4 linked regions of the Nothobranchius furzeri genome follow. The protein of the gene in region 3 binds, or shares a complex with, the protein of the main gene of each other region. Links are inferred from orthologs where the notes say so. Each region holds a gene or a part of one and is shown on either strand. Other genes may lie near its edges.

What was found.
Region 1: the proteins of topbp1 (region 3) and gins1 are in contact, whole or in part, in a cryo-EM structure (PDB 8OK2), measured with the Homo sapiens proteins. The link is inferred for Nothobranchius furzeri from reciprocal best matches to the Homo sapiens genes TOPBP1 and GINS1. Residues at the interface, in NP_008958.2 of Homo sapiens: Leu490, Leu491, Ser492, Gln493, Tyr494, Glu495, Asn496, Leu586, Ser587, Arg588, Thr589, Val590, Val596, Cys601, Glu602, Val603, Ala605, Thr606, Val607, Gly608, Val610, Lys629, Pro636, Val637, Pro638, Val639, Met640, Thr641, Arg726; in NP_066545.3 of Homo sapiens: Asn43, Gln44, Val47, Asn48, Lys51, His66, Arg91, Tyr94, Gly95, Ser96, Asn100, Arg103, Phe104, Arg119, Ala122, Met125, Glu132, Gly133, Leu134, Asp135, Thr137, Gln138, Asp139.
Region 2: the proteins of topbp1 (region 3) and brip1 are in contact, whole or in part, in a crystal structure (PDB 3AL3), measured with the Homo sapiens proteins. The link is inferred for Nothobranchius furzeri from reciprocal best matches to the Homo sapiens genes TOPBP1 and BRIP1. Residues at the interface, in NP_008958.2 of Homo sapiens: Leu1272, Ser1273, Ser1274, Leu1275, Asn1276, Pro1277, Arg1280, Gln1298, His1311, Leu1313, Arg1314, Asn1315, Glu1316, Lys1317, Leu1319, Gln1366, Arg1407, Gly1410, Phe1411, Leu1414, Thr1466, Glu1467, Ile1469, Ala1470; in NP_114432.2 of Homo sapiens: Ser1129, Tyr1131, Phe1132, Thr1133, Pro1134, Glu1135, Leu1136, Tyr1137, Asp1138.
Region 4: the proteins of topbp1 (region 3) and phf8 are in contact, whole or in part, in a crystal structure (PDB 7CMZ), measured with the Homo sapiens proteins. The link is inferred for Nothobranchius furzeri from reciprocal best matches to the Homo sapiens genes TOPBP1 and PHF8. Residues at the interface, in NP_008958.2 of Homo sapiens: Gln1298, Cys1299, Arg1314, Asn1315, Glu1316, Leu1319, Arg1369, Ser1406, Arg1407, Gly1410, Phe1411, Arg1413, Leu1414, Arg1465, Thr1466, Glu1467, Ala1470, Asp1471, Gln1475, Asn1483, Tyr1484; in NP_001171825.1 of Homo sapiens: Gly842, Ala843, Cys844, Phe845, Asp847, Ala848, Tyr850, Ile851, Tyr852, Pro853, Ser854, Leu855, Glu856.

Annotation. Positions count from the first base shown.
Region 1 is NC_091752.1:47,394,601-47,398,489, reverse strand, and holds gins1 (DNA replication complex GINS protein PSF1), read right to left. Parts: upstream 2,520-3,889; 5' UTR 2,411-2,519; coding exon 2,336-2,410; exon of another isoform or gene 2,323-2,335; intron 2,117-2,322; coding exon 2,052-2,116; intron 1,721-2,051; coding exon 1,622-1,720; intron 1,547-1,621; coding exon 1,456-1,546; intron 1,312-1,455; coding exon 1,195-1,311; intron 1,125-1,194; coding exon 1,050-1,124; intron 710-1,049; coding exon 641-709; 3' UTR 551-640; downstream 1-550. UniProt on the Homo sapiens protein: Required for correct functioning of the GINS complex, a complex that plays an essential role in the initiation of DNA replication, and progression of DNA replication forks.
Region 2 is NC_091753.1:22,952,010-22,955,571, reverse strand, and holds part of brip1 (Fanconi anemia group J protein), read right to left. Parts: intron 1,958-3,562; coding exon 1,691-1,957; intron 130-1,690; coding exon 1-129. UniProt on the Homo sapiens protein: DNA-dependent ATPase and 5'-3' DNA helicase required for the maintenance of chromosomal stability. Acts late in the Fanconi anemia pathway, after FANCD2 ubiquitination.
Region 3 is NC_091747.1:45,081,273-45,084,834, reverse strand, and holds part of topbp1 (DNA topoisomerase 2-binding protein 1), read right to left. Parts: coding exon 3,403-3,562; intron 3,323-3,402; coding exon 3,150-3,322; intron 3,013-3,149; coding exon 2,801-3,012; intron 2,711-2,800; coding exon 2,415-2,710; intron 2,341-2,414; coding exon 2,155-2,340; intron 2,046-2,154; coding exon 1,930-2,045; intron 1,797-1,929; coding exon 1,673-1,796; intron 1,534-1,672; coding exon 1,387-1,533; intron 1,318-1,386; coding exon 1,248-1,317; intron 1,171-1,247; coding exon 978-1,170; intron 908-977; coding exon 666-907; intron 485-665; coding exon 245-484; intron 104-244; coding exon 1-103. UniProt on the Homo sapiens protein: Scaffold protein that acts as a key protein-protein adapter in DNA replication and DNA repair. Composed of multiple BRCT domains, which specifically recognize and bind phosphorylated proteins, bringing proteins together into functional combinations.
Region 4 is NC_091755.1:27,007,654-27,011,887, reverse strand, and holds the start of phf8 (histone lysine demethylase PHF8), read left to right. Parts: upstream 1-1,403; 5' UTR 1,404-1,482; intron 1,483-1,537; exon of another isoform or gene 1,538-1,733; intron 1,734-2,258; 5' UTR 2,259-2,352; coding exon 2,353-2,450; intron 2,451-2,597; coding exon 2,598-2,683; intron 2,684-2,864; coding exon 2,865-2,991; intron 2,992-3,260; coding exon 3,261-3,421; intron 3,422-3,953; coding exon 3,954-4,095; intron 4,096-4,173; coding exon 4,174-4,234. UniProt on the Homo sapiens protein: Histone lysine demethylase with selectivity for the di- and monomethyl states that plays a key role cell cycle progression, rDNA transcription and brain development.

The sequences.
Region 1 (3,889 bases), on a different chromosome or scaffold from region 3:
TCATGACATCAAAATGTGTCATATTAAAATGACAAATGTGTCATTGAATTAGGCACCGATTATTCAAACATCAACATTATTATACATATAACATTTGTTCATTCAACCATATTATTTTTTAACTTACGAGTTGTAAAAGTTATTTCATGAGAGTGAGCAATCCTGTGGTCTTATCAAAAGAAGGCTTTGTTTGGGAACATAGGCTGGCATCTTGTTCCCCCTGAATGTCAACAAGGGCTTCAGAATCTTCTGGGCTTTAGAAGGCAGGATAGAAACTCCACTCAGATAGTGGAATTAGGTCTGTAGGTGACCGGACATTGTGTCGGTCAATATGTAGGTGAAAACTGACCATTTCTGGACGTTACAGCAGGCAGCATCAGTGTGTTTGCTGCTCTATTTCTCACCTGTTCAGGTGCAACACACCAAAGCTCACCTGTGGACCAAAGTGTGACTCATTATGTTTTTATCAGCTGCTTGTCATCTTTCTATGGCACCTGACACGTGAGTTTCTTCACTTCCAGGACCACAGAGACACAACAGAGGCCACAGAATGGGTACAACACTTTTATTTGTTGTGACCACACACACACACACACACACACACACACACACACACACACACACACACAATCTTCTCTCGTCACGACACCACGTGCTCCAAGACGCCCTGGCGAATCAGCTGCTCACATTTCCACCGAGGCAGGAAGTGCTGAGAACACAAACACAACTTCCTGTGAGCTGCTGCGTTCTAAGGCTTCACGTCACATGCACACACGCACACACACACACGGGCCACAGGATTCATCTCCTGGGAATAATGTGAGTGTGGGTCCATCCCAGATCCACAGCTGCTTCCTCTACATGTCAACACACACCTGTATGCTCCAGAGAGCTCCTGCTGCTGGTGATCAGGTAATCAATACACCTGATCCTGAGCTTCCTGTTGAGGCTGTGAGGACGGTCTGGTTCTGATGTCATGCTGTCGGCCCAATCGTGTGTGTGTGTGTGTGTGTGAGTGAGTGTTCATCCAAACTGCATCCTATTCTGACCTGGCTGTTCTTCTTCAGCAAGATCACCGTTCCATCCTCGATCTCAAACTCTCCATGGTCCTTAAGACACCTCACCTGGAAACAAACATGACATCAGCATGATGAGGACAGACCGTAGGTCAGAGGTCAGGCAGGTGTGACTCACCTGGATGTAGAGACTCTTTGGAGGCTTGATGTCCTGTGTGATGTCAAGCCCCTCCCCCTCACCAAGGGAACGCATGAAGGAAGCAAGAGACTTTTTATACTGACCAAACCACTGCACCTGAAAGCAACACACACACACACACTGAGCTGTTCTAATACAACACTGACACTTTCAAAATAAAAGTTTCAAGGAATTGAAAAGTTTGCTTTCTATGTGAAGCAGCAACAGGAAGTCTAAAACAGGAGGTGATGTCACACCGACCTCCTCTGCAGACATGTGGAAGCGAACGTTGGCGGGTAGAACGCTGCCGTACTCCCATCTCAGCGCTCTGATCCTCAGCAGGCGGTCGTACCTGTAAACAACAAACGGTAAAAAAAACCGTAGTGACTGCAGGTGAGGCTGGTCACATGACTGTGGGCGGAGTTACAGGTAGGCAGTGATGCAGCGCTGGTTCCTCAGCAGGCAGCAGTGACGCAGTTTGATGGAGGGGATGAGGTCTGAGCGCCCGAAGGACTTGGCCTCGTTCCTGAAACAGAAGATCAGCTGACTTACTGTAAGGTCACATACGGGTCATCTGGACTCAGGCCAGTCCAGAACCAGTATCTGACCTCTGGACCCCTCATCCTTCATGCATGAAAAGGCTCTTGAACCAGTTTGACCTTTTCTCTACAGGTGATGTGGGGTCAGAGGTCAGGTCAAACAGGAGAGGCCTCAGTATATGAGGAGGGTTTCTGTAGATAAACAAAACCAGAACCCGAACTCTGTGGTTGAAGCCGCATCTTTTTGATCTTTTACAGTTTAGTAGCGTTCAGATGTCGGTCCACCGAACCCTAGAACCAGAAGCAGCCTGAACTCACACGTCAGCTTGGTTCTGTTCGTACAGAGCCTCCATCTCCTGTAGAACCTGGCGCAGCCCGTCCTCCTGAAACAGAGCCAGCATGTGGGTTCTGGTTTAAGGAACAGTAGAACAGCATGCTACCGGGTTAAATCAGAGCCGAACTGTAGCCGGTGTTCCGTTTAAGCTATCCTTTGGTCTACTGGTTCTTAAGACTTCTGCTTCTGTTGGCAACATCTGAACAACCTTAAACCAGCTTGGCTGTACACGGAGTCAGCTGCTGCGACCGTTACCCGCGTTCCTCACGTTGAAAGCGGGCAGCTGTCCGTCGCTCATCCGGTGCAGCTCCCGGATCATCTCCATGGCCTTCTCGCAGAACATCCCGAACTCTCGATCAGAAAACTTATCCGTTTCTCCTCCGTGAAGACCGAACGGTGTTGGCGGGAAAAGCTTTGTTGATCACGTGACCCGGTGACGTAGATCCGTTGTCGGTACCAGATCGGCTCCGGCATAGATATGTATGTATAAACACTAGATGCCTCGTCCCCACTGTTCGTCAATGGGATGCGACGTAGGAACGTGGCGGCCATCTTACCTCAGACCGCTGCCCCCCTTTCTCAAGCAACTCTAACTTGCTCAATTTTCAACCGATTTTCAAAAGGCTTAATTTGTTATAAACGCCAAAGATGTGTCTATGAAATAAGATGGGTTTGGCCGAGAAATTCCTGTTATTTCACTCCACAAAGCATTTAATCTTTCATTAACACATTTAATTGTAAGCTACAGTAATTAGTTAGATTTTCTCCTCCTTGAACCGTCACCTTATCGTGGTGGAGGAGTTTGAGTGCCCTAATGATCCTAGGAGCTATGTTGTCTGGGGCACTTAGTGCCCCTGGTAGGGTCTCCCATGACAAATTGGTCTTAGGTGAAGGGTGAGACAAAGAACGGTTCGAAGGATCTTTCATGGCGGTTAAAACGAAGAGTCGGAGTACCCGGCCCGGAGGGTTACCGGGGTCCCACCCTGGAGCCAGGCCTGGGGTTGGGGCCCGTGAGCGAGCGCCTGGTGGCCGGGCTTTCGCCCATGGGGCCCGGCCGGGCCCAGCCCGAACCGGATACATGGGCTCGTCCAACTGTGGACCCACCACCCGCAGGAGGAACATGAAGGGTCCGGTGCAATGCGAATCGGGTGGCAGACCAAGGCGGGAGCCTTGGCGGTCCAATCCCCGGACAAGAAAACTAGTTTTTGGGACATGGAACGTCACCTCGCTGGCGGGGAAGGAGCCGGAGCTTGTGGCAGAGGTTGAGTGGTACCGGCTAGATATAGTCGAACTCACCTCGACACATTGCATTGGCTCTGGGACCCGAGACCTGGAGAGGGGTTGGACACTCTACTTTGCTGGAGTTGCTCCGGGTGAGAGGCGGAGGGCTGGGGTTGGCTTTTTGTTAGCCCAGAGACTCTCTGCCTGTGTGTTGGGGTTTACCCCGGGGGACAAGAGGGTAGCTTCCTTGCGCCTTCGGGTCGGAGAACGGGTCCTGACTGTTGTTTGTGCTTATGGGCCAAATATCAGTTCAGAGTACCCACCCTTTTTGGAGTCCCTGGGACGAGTGCTAGATAGTGCTCCATCAGGGGACTCCATTGTCCTGCTGGGGGACTTCAATGCTCACGTGGGCAATGACAGCTTGACCTGGAGGGGTGTGATTGGGAGGAACGGCCCACCTAATCTGAACTCGAGCGGTGTTTTGTTATTGGACTTCTGTGCAAGCCGCAGTTTGGCCATAACGAACACCATGTTCGAACATAAGGATGCCCACCGGTACACTTGGTACCAGGGCAGCCTAGGTCACAGGTCGATGATAGAT
Region 2 (3,562 bases), on a different chromosome or scaffold from region 3:
GGAGCGGAGCCGTCGGCCTAGAGACACCAGGTCCTCCACGTCCCATGCTCCACACAGTCCATGGACTGACTGCAGTAAATGCTGAGTTCCCATCTTTTTGACTCCATGGTAGTAGCGACACGAGCGCCCCTGTAAGGCACACATTTAACAGCTTCATTCAGAGAAGTGGTGATGTTAAACCAATTTGCCAAAACTGGTTTATATCTTAATAAAATGTGTGGGTCTACAAAGGTGGTCAAAGGTTAAGAAACTCTGGTTTCAAAGTTTGTTTAATTTTCCGCCAGATGTTTCTATGGTTACTGGAGTAGAACCACTCGAGGTTTCAAAGGTTTTTTACTGACAATTACAAGAAGTTGACCCAAATATTAAATATTCCCAGTGTTTGGGCCTCTTGTCATCTAATAATGCTACAAATATTTTAGTTGCAGACATTCTGGACTCAGAGTGAACTTCTCCCACTCAGAAACTATAAACAGAACTCACAATGACCTTCTACTGCATGGAACCATCAAAAACACTTTTTACACATATCTGTAAGTTTAAACATTTTATTACTATGACCCTGGTCAATGTGGCAAAGTCAAAAGCAGAGCTACGACTCATCTTCTACAGCTGATCATCTGCTCATCACACTTGAGCATTGGAAACATCTGGAAGCCCAGTTTTATCAGGCTGGCTTTATGACCATACAACAATACAGCATATTAATTATTAACTATTAACATTAAAACAAAAATAACTGAGTTTTTATTTTAAAGTATTTTATGTATTTTTCCGTGTACAGCTTACACGTTCAGACATTGATACGGTGCATGTAGCCTATCCTGCAGCTAGTCCTGACTACTACAAGTAGACGTGTCCTCTTAGATGTCCCACCCTGTTCTTTGTGACTTTAACAGCTTAAGGTGACACTGTCACAAAAACACTTCACATAGGTGGACCCGGCTACAGACAAAGCAATCATCTGTGGATAATATGGTCCTCTTCTCTTCGAGCTGTGCTAAGCATGGACCTTTCATAGACACCAAGCCCTGGTGGCAGAGTCACACAGCTGTTTTGAGGGTAGGGGTGTGTGTGTGGGAGGGTGGGGGGGTGTTAAGGCCTCCAGCTACCCTCAGAACAACTCTGACCAAAGTGTCCAGGAAGCTGTTGTGTTAGGAGCAGTTTCTCTGTGCATCAGAGTCAGTACTGCAGCATAACCTGACAATGACTGAACCAGACCCTTAGGTCACACACACACACACACACACACACACACACTCAGGGTGTCAGTGACACCTGCTTATGTGTGTGTGTGTGGGGGGGGGGGGGGGGGGGGGGTTATTTCGAGGGCAGCTTTTCATGACAAAAGTGAGATGATTGCTATGGGAGGCTAACACCTCTAATGACAACATAATTGTCTATATTACAGTAGGCGCCCGAACTTCAGGACATTATAGGAGGTTACAAGTGTATCACATCTCCAAAAATGGTCCTTGATATTCTAGAGTGTCAAAAAAGTTCTGTCAACCAATTGTGTATAATTGCTTCTCTGAGGCTATGTGTTCATTATGTGACTCTCCTCAGTGTTAGGTGTGTCAGTAACTGCATGTCCCACACTTCCTGATGAATCTTTGTTGTTTTTCACATGATGTTTTGTGTGTGTGTGTGTGTGTGTGTGTGTGTGTGTGTGTGTGTGTCCGTTCCTCACCTCTTTGTCCTCCAGCAGCTCCTTGCACAGCTCGTTGCGGTTGAAGTGAGGTACCACATCTGAATGAACACAGGTGTGCTTTCTGCTGGACAAGATGGTCATCTGTACGCTGGAGTACGCTGTGCGCTTCAGCTCATGTGCAATCTGAGTAATCTGTTTATGGGTGCGTGTGCCAAAGAAAATCTTTGGAATCTTCTTTTTGCCATCTTTGTCCTTCACACCATCTTTGGCTGAGGCACAAGGGCAGTGGGAGCAGGGCTCAGACATCTGGACACACACACAGAACAGGTTCACTGGATGTTCTCAACATCTCATCACGTACAGCGCTAGAGTGGTGGTGTGGGTCTGGCTTACTGGGTGGGGTTCAGCTATACACACCTGTAGGATCATTTTAGACATTTATCTGAGCTTACTTCCCAATAAAGACACATTTCAAATACGTGGCCAAAAAGCACAACATTACTTTTCCTCCTGGTTTGTTGTGTTTCCACTAAGGTCTGAGCTACGTCAGCAGTGAGTGCTCTACGTCCTCCCTGAAAGTCCCAGATTATGTCAAAGGGCCTACCTTCCAACCAGGGAGGTATACTAAAGATTGGTTTATGCTTGACGCGTCCGTGAGGTCCGCGCGGCTAAATTGCGTCATTTTAACAACCACACCCCTCCACCGCACCTCCGCACGGCCCAAAATTTCCGCACCGCGCACCTAGGAAATTTTCTAACCACGCGGACGGTCGGACGCGGAAAAACATCGCGGACTGGCAAGAACTAGTATGGCAGAGGTTTGTAAATACAGACATTTGTATGATTCAGCTCTCAGAGATCGCCATGATCAACATGTTAATAATTCTTGGAGAGAAATAGCTCGCACTGTTGGAAAAGACGAGGACGCTGTTAAAATTGCTGGAATGCCATGTTGTAAACAGTAATTTTTACTTCTACTATGGTGTAGTGTTGGATGCATGCCATAGAGCTCCATGCTGCCCCCTACAGCTTGGGAGAATATTGGCTCACCACAGAGACAAGCCGCATGAACCATAAATGCTGAGAGTTGTGAAGCGCGTTCCAGCCGCGAGCCGCATCACCAAGCGGAAAGTGAATGTGTCAAGCATAAACCCAGCTTAAGGCAGGGGTGTCGAACTCAAATTTGCTCTGGGCCAAAATGAAAAACTGGGACGAAGTTGCGGGCCAAACTCAATATTTTTTCAAAAGTGACTGCAAATGTGCACATTTGCCTTTACTACAGATATGAACGGTTGAACCTTTTCATTTGGAAACAAACTTAATTTTGCAGTAACACTGAATGTGGAGTACGGGCTGCATGACTTAACTTTTTTAAGTCAAGTAATTAAAATCGAGTCGACTTTGACTAGTCGTTGATGACGTCATACACCTGAAGTGGGTTGGTTCGCTGGAGTTTTTGACAATTAAAATTGCCCCCACATTTGCAACGTTAAACACAATGGTAGTTTCTGCATCTTTACTGTTCCCCTGCTTCAAACATAAAAGGAAATGAGCCAACATGAACGATCGCGTGTTAAATTAGTTTTTGAGGTGGCGACACCTAATTTGATAATGTTACTGTGGCCGTGCTCAGGATGCAGATGTCTGAAGCGTGTCAACGATCAGAGCTTTGCATGCACAAGCTGGTTAAGGTTAGGATGGGGGTGAGGGGAAGGTTAAATTGCAAGAGGGTAAAGGTCACAATTTGGTCAAATGTCTGTTTTTCCGCGGGAGTCAGATACGACGCGGTGGCACAGCGCGTCGCCTCCCAACACGCAGGGGCTGGTCACCTGCTGTCTTTTCCGAGGACTGCATCTTGTCTGTCATTATCACGTGACAGCGACTAGTCTTTGAAAGGCATAAAGTCACTAC
Region 3 (3,562 bases):
CCGGCAGCCATCGCTGCAAGATACTTCTCGTTGCGCAGCGGAGTCCCTACGATGATGTGGGAGCAGCTGGGGTCGAAGGACTGCTTGTCCAGGACAACACCACCTAAAGTAGGACAAAGAACAGAGAGACTAAGACACACTGGACCTGGTCAGGAGACACGAACTAGACCAAGCTAAAATAAAAATCATATTCCATCTCCTGCTTTTGGTTTCTGTGACCAGGTTGGAGCTCTGAGGGACTCACCCAGCTCCTCTATCAGCTGGCTGTAATCGATGCGCTCCTGAGGACTGAGGGAGGACAGCTGGAATCTGGGAGGCTGCTTTTCTTCTCTTGTCTCGTCCTGATGCTCCGGAGCTCCTGCTGGTTTAGTGAGGGGAAAGGCGATGCTAGGAGCTCTAGGAGTGAGGATGTCTTCCTCTGGTTCCTCTGGTGGAGGGGTCATGACCTTCTGACCCAGCTGCTGGTTAATAACCTCACAAGCAGCTGTGTGAGAACAGTGAGATGCATCTTTAAGCTGCATTACTGTAAACAAGACCTCAGCTTTTAGAAACCGGTAAAACGTGAAAACGTTGCTTCGTATCAAACATTACATGAAGCTTCAATAAGCTGGAAAACTAATGAAACACTCAGTTCTTTAGTTCTGTGTATGTCTCACGGATCTTACCGATCTCCACCAGCTCCGAGTCCGTCATGGAGTCCTTCAACTGTGATCTGGTCTCTGCGGAGGGAGGGGGTGCAGGTGCAGCAGCAGCCGTGAGAGGTTCGGAGTGTTGCGACGGACTTCCAGGCCACTGGAAGTTATCCGCCAGCTTCGCCCGCTCCTCCCGGGCCGTTGGGTCATCCCAGACGATCTGCTCGCTCTGAGACGGCTCCGTGTTGATGTCCAGGGCTGCTTCTCTGGAAACTCTGGGGGGAAAATATGTAAACACTAAAGTTTCACATAGAAATATCTTAATTAGCTTCAACAGAAAGCCACCTGAGAGCTTCCAGGGTCCGTCTGCTCCCGCCGCGGCTGGCTCGGCTCACGTCGGGTGTGTTCGGACCAGAATCAGCACCTCCTGATCCCATTCTAGCCAGTCTCACAGACGTGCGTCTGCCCGTCGTTATCTTGGTGGCGGACATGATCTCCTGCAGCTGTCGTTGCAGGGTCTCCCCCATTTCCAGCATGTCTGAAACGTGAAACGGCCTCTGTTACCTCGTGGTTCGTCATAAACGCAGAAGCAGCTAGAAGACGGACACACGTCACCTCTCTTCTCATCGTGATCGTCGCCTCCGTTACTCACAGCTGAGGTTGCTCCTGCAGCGGGGAGCTCAGACTGACGGGACAAACAGAACCGTCAGACATGAGATGGAAAACATCAGTTGCAACACTAGACCAATGCTACCTTGTCAAGTTTGTCTCGGAGCCGTGTTCGTGGGAAAGGCGGAGACTTCTGGGAGCTGCTGGGCACCTGGCTCAGGTTTAGGCTCATCTTGGGGTTGTAGGTGAACGGATACAGAGACTCTGAGACGTGCTTCTGCTCCTCGGCACACTGAACGCACGCAAACACGCACACACACGCACACACACGAGTGTTTTATTTGTGTCAAAATCAAAAATCTGTACACAGAAATTAGACTTTTACAAAACTTTACTGAATAAAGCCGACTTTAAACATTTTTGAGACTCACAGCGTGCAGCCAGTACTGAGATACCACATGCAGCCCTCTCTCCTTCACCCCTCTGTACTCCCTGGAGCTGTCCCCCACTCGACCCTGGTAGATGTAGTGGGTCACCGTGTCATCACAAGCCCATCTGAAAAACAAAGGTGTTTTTGAACGATCTGGTTATCCCAGTAATAGTCCCAGTGTAGCCCCATTTGTTTATATTGTTTAAAACAGAAACATCCATCAGGTTAGTAACTAAAAACTCCCAGAAGGCCGAGCACCTGAAGTCAGCTCCCAGCGAGGCAGCAACAGCGTTTAGTTCGCTCTGCATTTTGCTGAGCTTCTTCGCCACACAGATCACAACACCAGTCAGAGGTCTGGCTGCTGCTTCTGGAGCCTTTGGGATAAAATGATGATGAATCACATTTATATTAGTTACAGGTGCTGAAAGAGAAACTCCAACCTTTTCAAGAGCAGAACCAAAAGCAGGTTTAGGACATATTTACCTCCTTCTCTGTCGTCTTGGCCAGCTGTGGGCTGGCGGTGACGGCCTGGAGGTCTGACATGTTCCCACGTGAGCTGTTGGCCAGAGCCACCTTCAGATTCCGGTTGATGACATCAGTCAGCGGCGTCTCCACCTTCTCTCCTGGCTTTGATCGCCCACCAGGCGTTTCCAAAGCTCCCAGTGCATCCTACAAAAATAAAACCCAGCCTATGACATGTTGTAGTTTGGAATGTTCGGTGTGGATGTCTGCTGCTGTCTGACCGCGACGTTAAACGACGGTCTGAAGAGCTGATCTCTGCTCAGGAACCGAGATGGCGTGTCCAGCTGCAGAGGAGGCTCCTTCTGAGGCCGCCTCCTTCTACTGTCCTCCTGGTTTTGTTCGGGTTTCATCTCATCCAGCACGGAGCGAAACACTTTGCTTTGGAAGCGGCCCAGGTCTAGCGGGGTGACGGCTTTCCCGCCCTGCGGACCCAGCAGAGGGATTTCAGGGGAACGTGGACGCGGCGGAGGCAGGATGGGTTTCTGGGAGCCGCCCACAAAGCTCTCTTCATCTCTCTCTACAAACGAGGGACATTTGAGGTGTTGGGAAAGCAAAGACAGGTTTTGTTCTCAAACGAACCAAAAAAATAAATAAATAAGAGAAAAACCTGGAGAAGGAGGTAGGTCAACCAGGTACTTCTCCTCCGCCGCCCTCTTGCCCGTACGAGCGGATTCCAGAATCCAGTGCATGGTGACAGCAGGGAGCCCCCACTTCTTTGCTGCCTGGTACTTTGTGCCTTCAGGAGTCTGCAACACCAGGTGAGTGCTGGCCAGCATCCCTTTCTTCTGGTTGGCCAGGCGCACAAAATAATCCTGCACACTACAGCGGGGGGGGGGGGGGGGGGGGGGGGGGGGTCATCAGTGATTCGTTTATGAAGCAATGAGGCAAATGTCCCATTTCAGATCTATGATGCATCAGGTTAAACTCAGAAAACAACGAGCAGGTAGTGGTCGTACTTTGCTCCGAGGTACTTGGCGAGCTCCACCAGGGACTCCCTCTCTGCTCCAGTAAACTGGCTGACGGAGAGGACGCAGTCCTTTAGAGGAAAATGTCCCTCCCTCACAGGGACGGGGACAAACAAAGGGTTGGCGGACAGACGTAGAACACACTCCTTCTCCACACACATGGCCTGAAATCAACAACAGGAAAACTTTAATATAAAAAATGCCAAAGTCTCAAAAGAAATAAAAGTTTTTGTTCCTTTGCTACCAGCCATGTATCCGTGACGACCTCGTCCACCGTGGCCTCCACCGAGCGGCCCAGCAGCGGAACCACGGCGTAGTCCGCCACCGCTCGAGTGCGGGCCGGCAGTACCTTGCCTCCTCGTTCTGAAACCAGCACGGAGAACTGCGCCTCGGCTTCAGGATCG
Region 4 (4,234 bases), on a different chromosome or scaffold from region 3:
TGAATTTTAAAGTGTGTTTTCATTTGTTTTTCCAGACTTGCTACACTTTCAGAGTAGTTTACTAGTAGTGAAGGTGAGATACTGTGCTGTCCGATACTAACGTGTCTAACAAGCTGTAGCTTGATGGTCATGATTCTGAAGGTGGCTGTGTCCCTGTGAGTGTTACCAAAATGTGATTTAAAAGATAAATATTATTTTTGTATTTTAGAATGGGAGTGTACAAATTGTAAAATTTTATTCTTGTTGCTATTAATTAGAAGTTTTTTTTAATCCCTGTTTTATATGGGGCTCCCAGTGCTTGTATATACAGTATCTCTACAAGCAAGAGCCATTACTTTTAATTTATATAGAGGAAAAGTCCTTTATATATACACGTGATTTCTGTTTTAATCTGGATTATTCGTAACAAAATTACACCAGCTGTGCAGATTTAAAATATTATAAATTAAAACAACAAATTTGGGAGACCCGAAATACATGACTGTGATCCAATGAAAAAGGTTTTCTTATGCAGAAAATGTGAGATAAAACATGCTGATGATTTCCCTCTCTGTACATTGTAACTAATTCAACTGTTGATTTTATATGTTTTGTAACTAATCAAAATAAATGATTTAATCATCAAAATGCATGGCATTTTTTTTTTCAAAAGCAAGTCAGTAGTAGCTCTTCAGATTTTGATTTAAATATGAAAAGGATACATGATCTCTTTATTGCAGTTTCTGTTTACAAATCAGCATGCACCATGTCATACAAAGTTTTTGTAATGTAGGCCTGCTGAAAACAAAATATCTTCAAAGACCATTTGTTTATCACAGATTTCAGAAATTTGAATTTTTAGCTGATGGCAATATTTCATAAATTAACAAGTACATTTTAATTAACCCTTTGATGCATAATGGTCACTACAGTGGACAGGTACTCAAAATTGTTATTTATTTGTTTTGCTATAAAGCACAGCTGTTGAAGACTATTGCATTTGAGCCCCTCCATTTAGACTTCAGCAAGTCAAGCCAACATCATGTTCAGAATGCATGCTGTCCACTAAGGTGGACACGTAATAAATTATTTGTAAATTATTAAATGTTTCAAAAACATTTGTTGAAATTTGTTTCATTCACACCTAAAGATTAATGAAAAAGACTGTTAAAAAACATGGTTGAAGGTTTCATAATTCATAATGCATCAAAGGGTTAAGAGGAAGTCGGGGAAAAACAAAAGTATAAAATGCGTTTTCTGATGTTTGAATAGTTACAAATTCTATACATATAATTATAATTAGTTCATTATATTGAATTTATTTAAAAAACGTGATATCAAAGTATATATTTATGTTGAAAGTGCTGAAAGTACGTGTTTCTGTAGCCGCATGAAAGCTTTTTTTAACTCATTTTGACTATCCGCAACTTTATTGTTCATCCAATTGCAGACAACAACAACGAAACAACGGTTTGACGCTATCCTCTTTGAAATGGCGCTGAGGTAGTTAAAGGCGCACTTTCTGCGTGTTACTTTCCTCTTTTAGCTCTCTTCAGGTTTTAGTTTTTGTGCCAGTGCTATTGTCTAAACACGACCTTCGTTTTTGAGCATCATTCAGTTCATAAACAAAAATGTGTTGAAGTAAATTGCTAAAAATTGACGTCGCATAATAAGGCCGCGGTAGCCCCCGAGCTTGCGTAGAGATTACAGCCGCTTTTCAGTGTTTGGCCTAGACGCAGAGCAGCAGCGGTTTGGTGAGTGGCAATCGGCTAGGGTTGAGTTACCCATCTTAGCTTAGCTAGAATTACCTCACAGTATTAGCTTCATAAAATACGTCTTTCAAATATACTATTTAAAGCTAACTGTTCAAGTTTGCATCTGGACAATTGTTATTGGATAGCTATCTGCGCGGCTAATGCTAGCTTGCGCTCAAAGTGTAGCCGAGCACGGTGTGTTTACAAACAGCAAGCTAACCTTACAACTTGCGACGTTGTAGCATTATAAGCAGAAGCGAATTAGCTTCAGACATATTCTGCAAATACCACGATAACAGAAATCTTACTATGTAATTAGTTAATTTATGCAAAAGCTTTACCATTGATGGCGCTTTATTCTAAGCTACAAACAGCCAACAAGTTTCGTGCTCAGCTGAGAGCTAGATTACTGAATCTGAAAGTTTTAACCCACTTACGTCTCAAAGTGGTGTATGTGTGTTTTTACTGTAATCATGAGTGATGACCACCTCCTAATATTGTTCTCTTGTGTTTGTGTTTTAATAGTCATTCAAGTGAATCCAGTATATAATATTATCAGGAGTTCACCAACAGCAATTTTACATCTGCATTAACATTTGTACACACACCTAAAGTCAACATGGCATCAGTCCCACTGTACTGCTTGTGTCGCCTTCCCTATGATGTGACACGCTTCATGATCGAATGTGACAATTGTCAGGACTGGTTTCATGGAAGGTAATATGTTGTTTTTATTTATTTTGTAGACTAAAATTTACTGGCATGTTTTTCAGTTATGTATTCGTAATTTGATTTCCATAGGTAAAATAGGTTTTGAACTTACTGGACATGATTGATTTAATCTGCCCTGTATTATTTGTACAGTTGTGTCGGAGTAGAGGAGAACAAAGCAGTTGAGATTGACTTGTATCACTGCCCCAACTGTCAGGTCACCCATGGGCCATCAGTTAGTAAGTCCTTTTATTTGGTTAAAAAGAGACTTAAAAATATTGTCACTTCCAGGCATTTGTATTTCTACAACTTGGCTATCAATTTGTCACAGGATTTATACGTGCTAAGCACACATTTTTGAACTTGTTATGCTGCTGTTACTTTCGTCTTTAACTGTGCACATGTTAATTGTTTTCTCAGTGCGCAAACGACGTGGAGCCAATAAGCAGACAGATGGAAGCACTAGTGTAGGAAGAGATCCAAGTCGACCTGTTAAGACGGGGAGTCCACAGTTTGTTAGGGAGCTTCGAAGTCGTACCTTCCCAAGGTAAGAACCATGTCTGGCAACAAATGAATAAGTAAAAAATATCACTATAATGTCAGTGTGGTGTGCTAGTTCTAGTAAACATCACACTCCATTTTAACATTTGAAATGGAGTAAAAACATAAAATACACTTTCTGTTATTGCCATTGCATTAGATTTCACTGATGTTGCTTTTATAACTATTACCGTGTTTTTTATTTTTTTATGGATAAGCTTTATTGTCACATTTCTAAATATGTCATGTTTTCTTGTGTCTGTGTCATGATCGCAGCGCGGATGAAATCTTGCTCAAGCCATCTGGGGCGCAGCTGACAGTCGAGTTTCTGGAAGAACATTCATTCAGCGTTCCTGTTATGGTGCTGAGGCGGGATGGCTTAGGCATGACCCTTCCTCCGTCATCATTCAGTGTCAGTGACATAGAGCACTGCATTGGTACGGTTTCAGTCTGTTAAACCCATGATTTGGATACATTGAGTTTTATCATGTTATCTTGTTTTATCAGCTTCATACACAAAGTAGTGCACAAACGTTTTGAGCCAACTCTTAATCCTTGTACTTTAAACTAGCCACACAGCTTTTTGGAATTTTGGAAGAGTTCTTGAGCAAATTTTAGATTTTGCATGTTGCCCTCACTCATCTCCCGGGTTTCCTCCTGATACCCTGGAAACATGCACGTCTGGTGATTGACTGCATTGTAAAATGAATCATATGTAAATTAAGGCATCTACCAAATACATTAATAAACACAGCTAGGTAACAAAGAGCGTTTCGAAAAGTTTTAAGACCACTTTCAAAGACTGCACAAAAGTTTGTCTTTTTTGAATTTATTACAATGAAATAAAGCATGGCCCAAGAAATTTTTCTTAAATGAATGAGAATGCAAGTTTTTTTTTTTTTTTTTTTTTTAACTTTCTGGAGTTCAATATGACTAACAAAATTACTCTGTTAAAAATATCAATGGCAGGTACAGATAAAGAGATCGACGTCATCGATGTGTCTCGACAATGTGATCTAAAGATGCGTCTGGGAGACTTTGTTGAGTACTACAACAGCCCTAACAGGGAGAAAGTGCTTAATGTCATCAGCTTGGAGTTTTCTGACACCAGGTATAGAAATCTAAACAGAGGAGTATCTCCTAGTCTTGGCAGTGTATTCATGGATGTGATCTGTTGGACTTGTCTCAGGCTCTCAAACTTGGTGGAGACTCCCAAGATTGTGAGAAAACTTTCGTGGGTTGAAAATCTC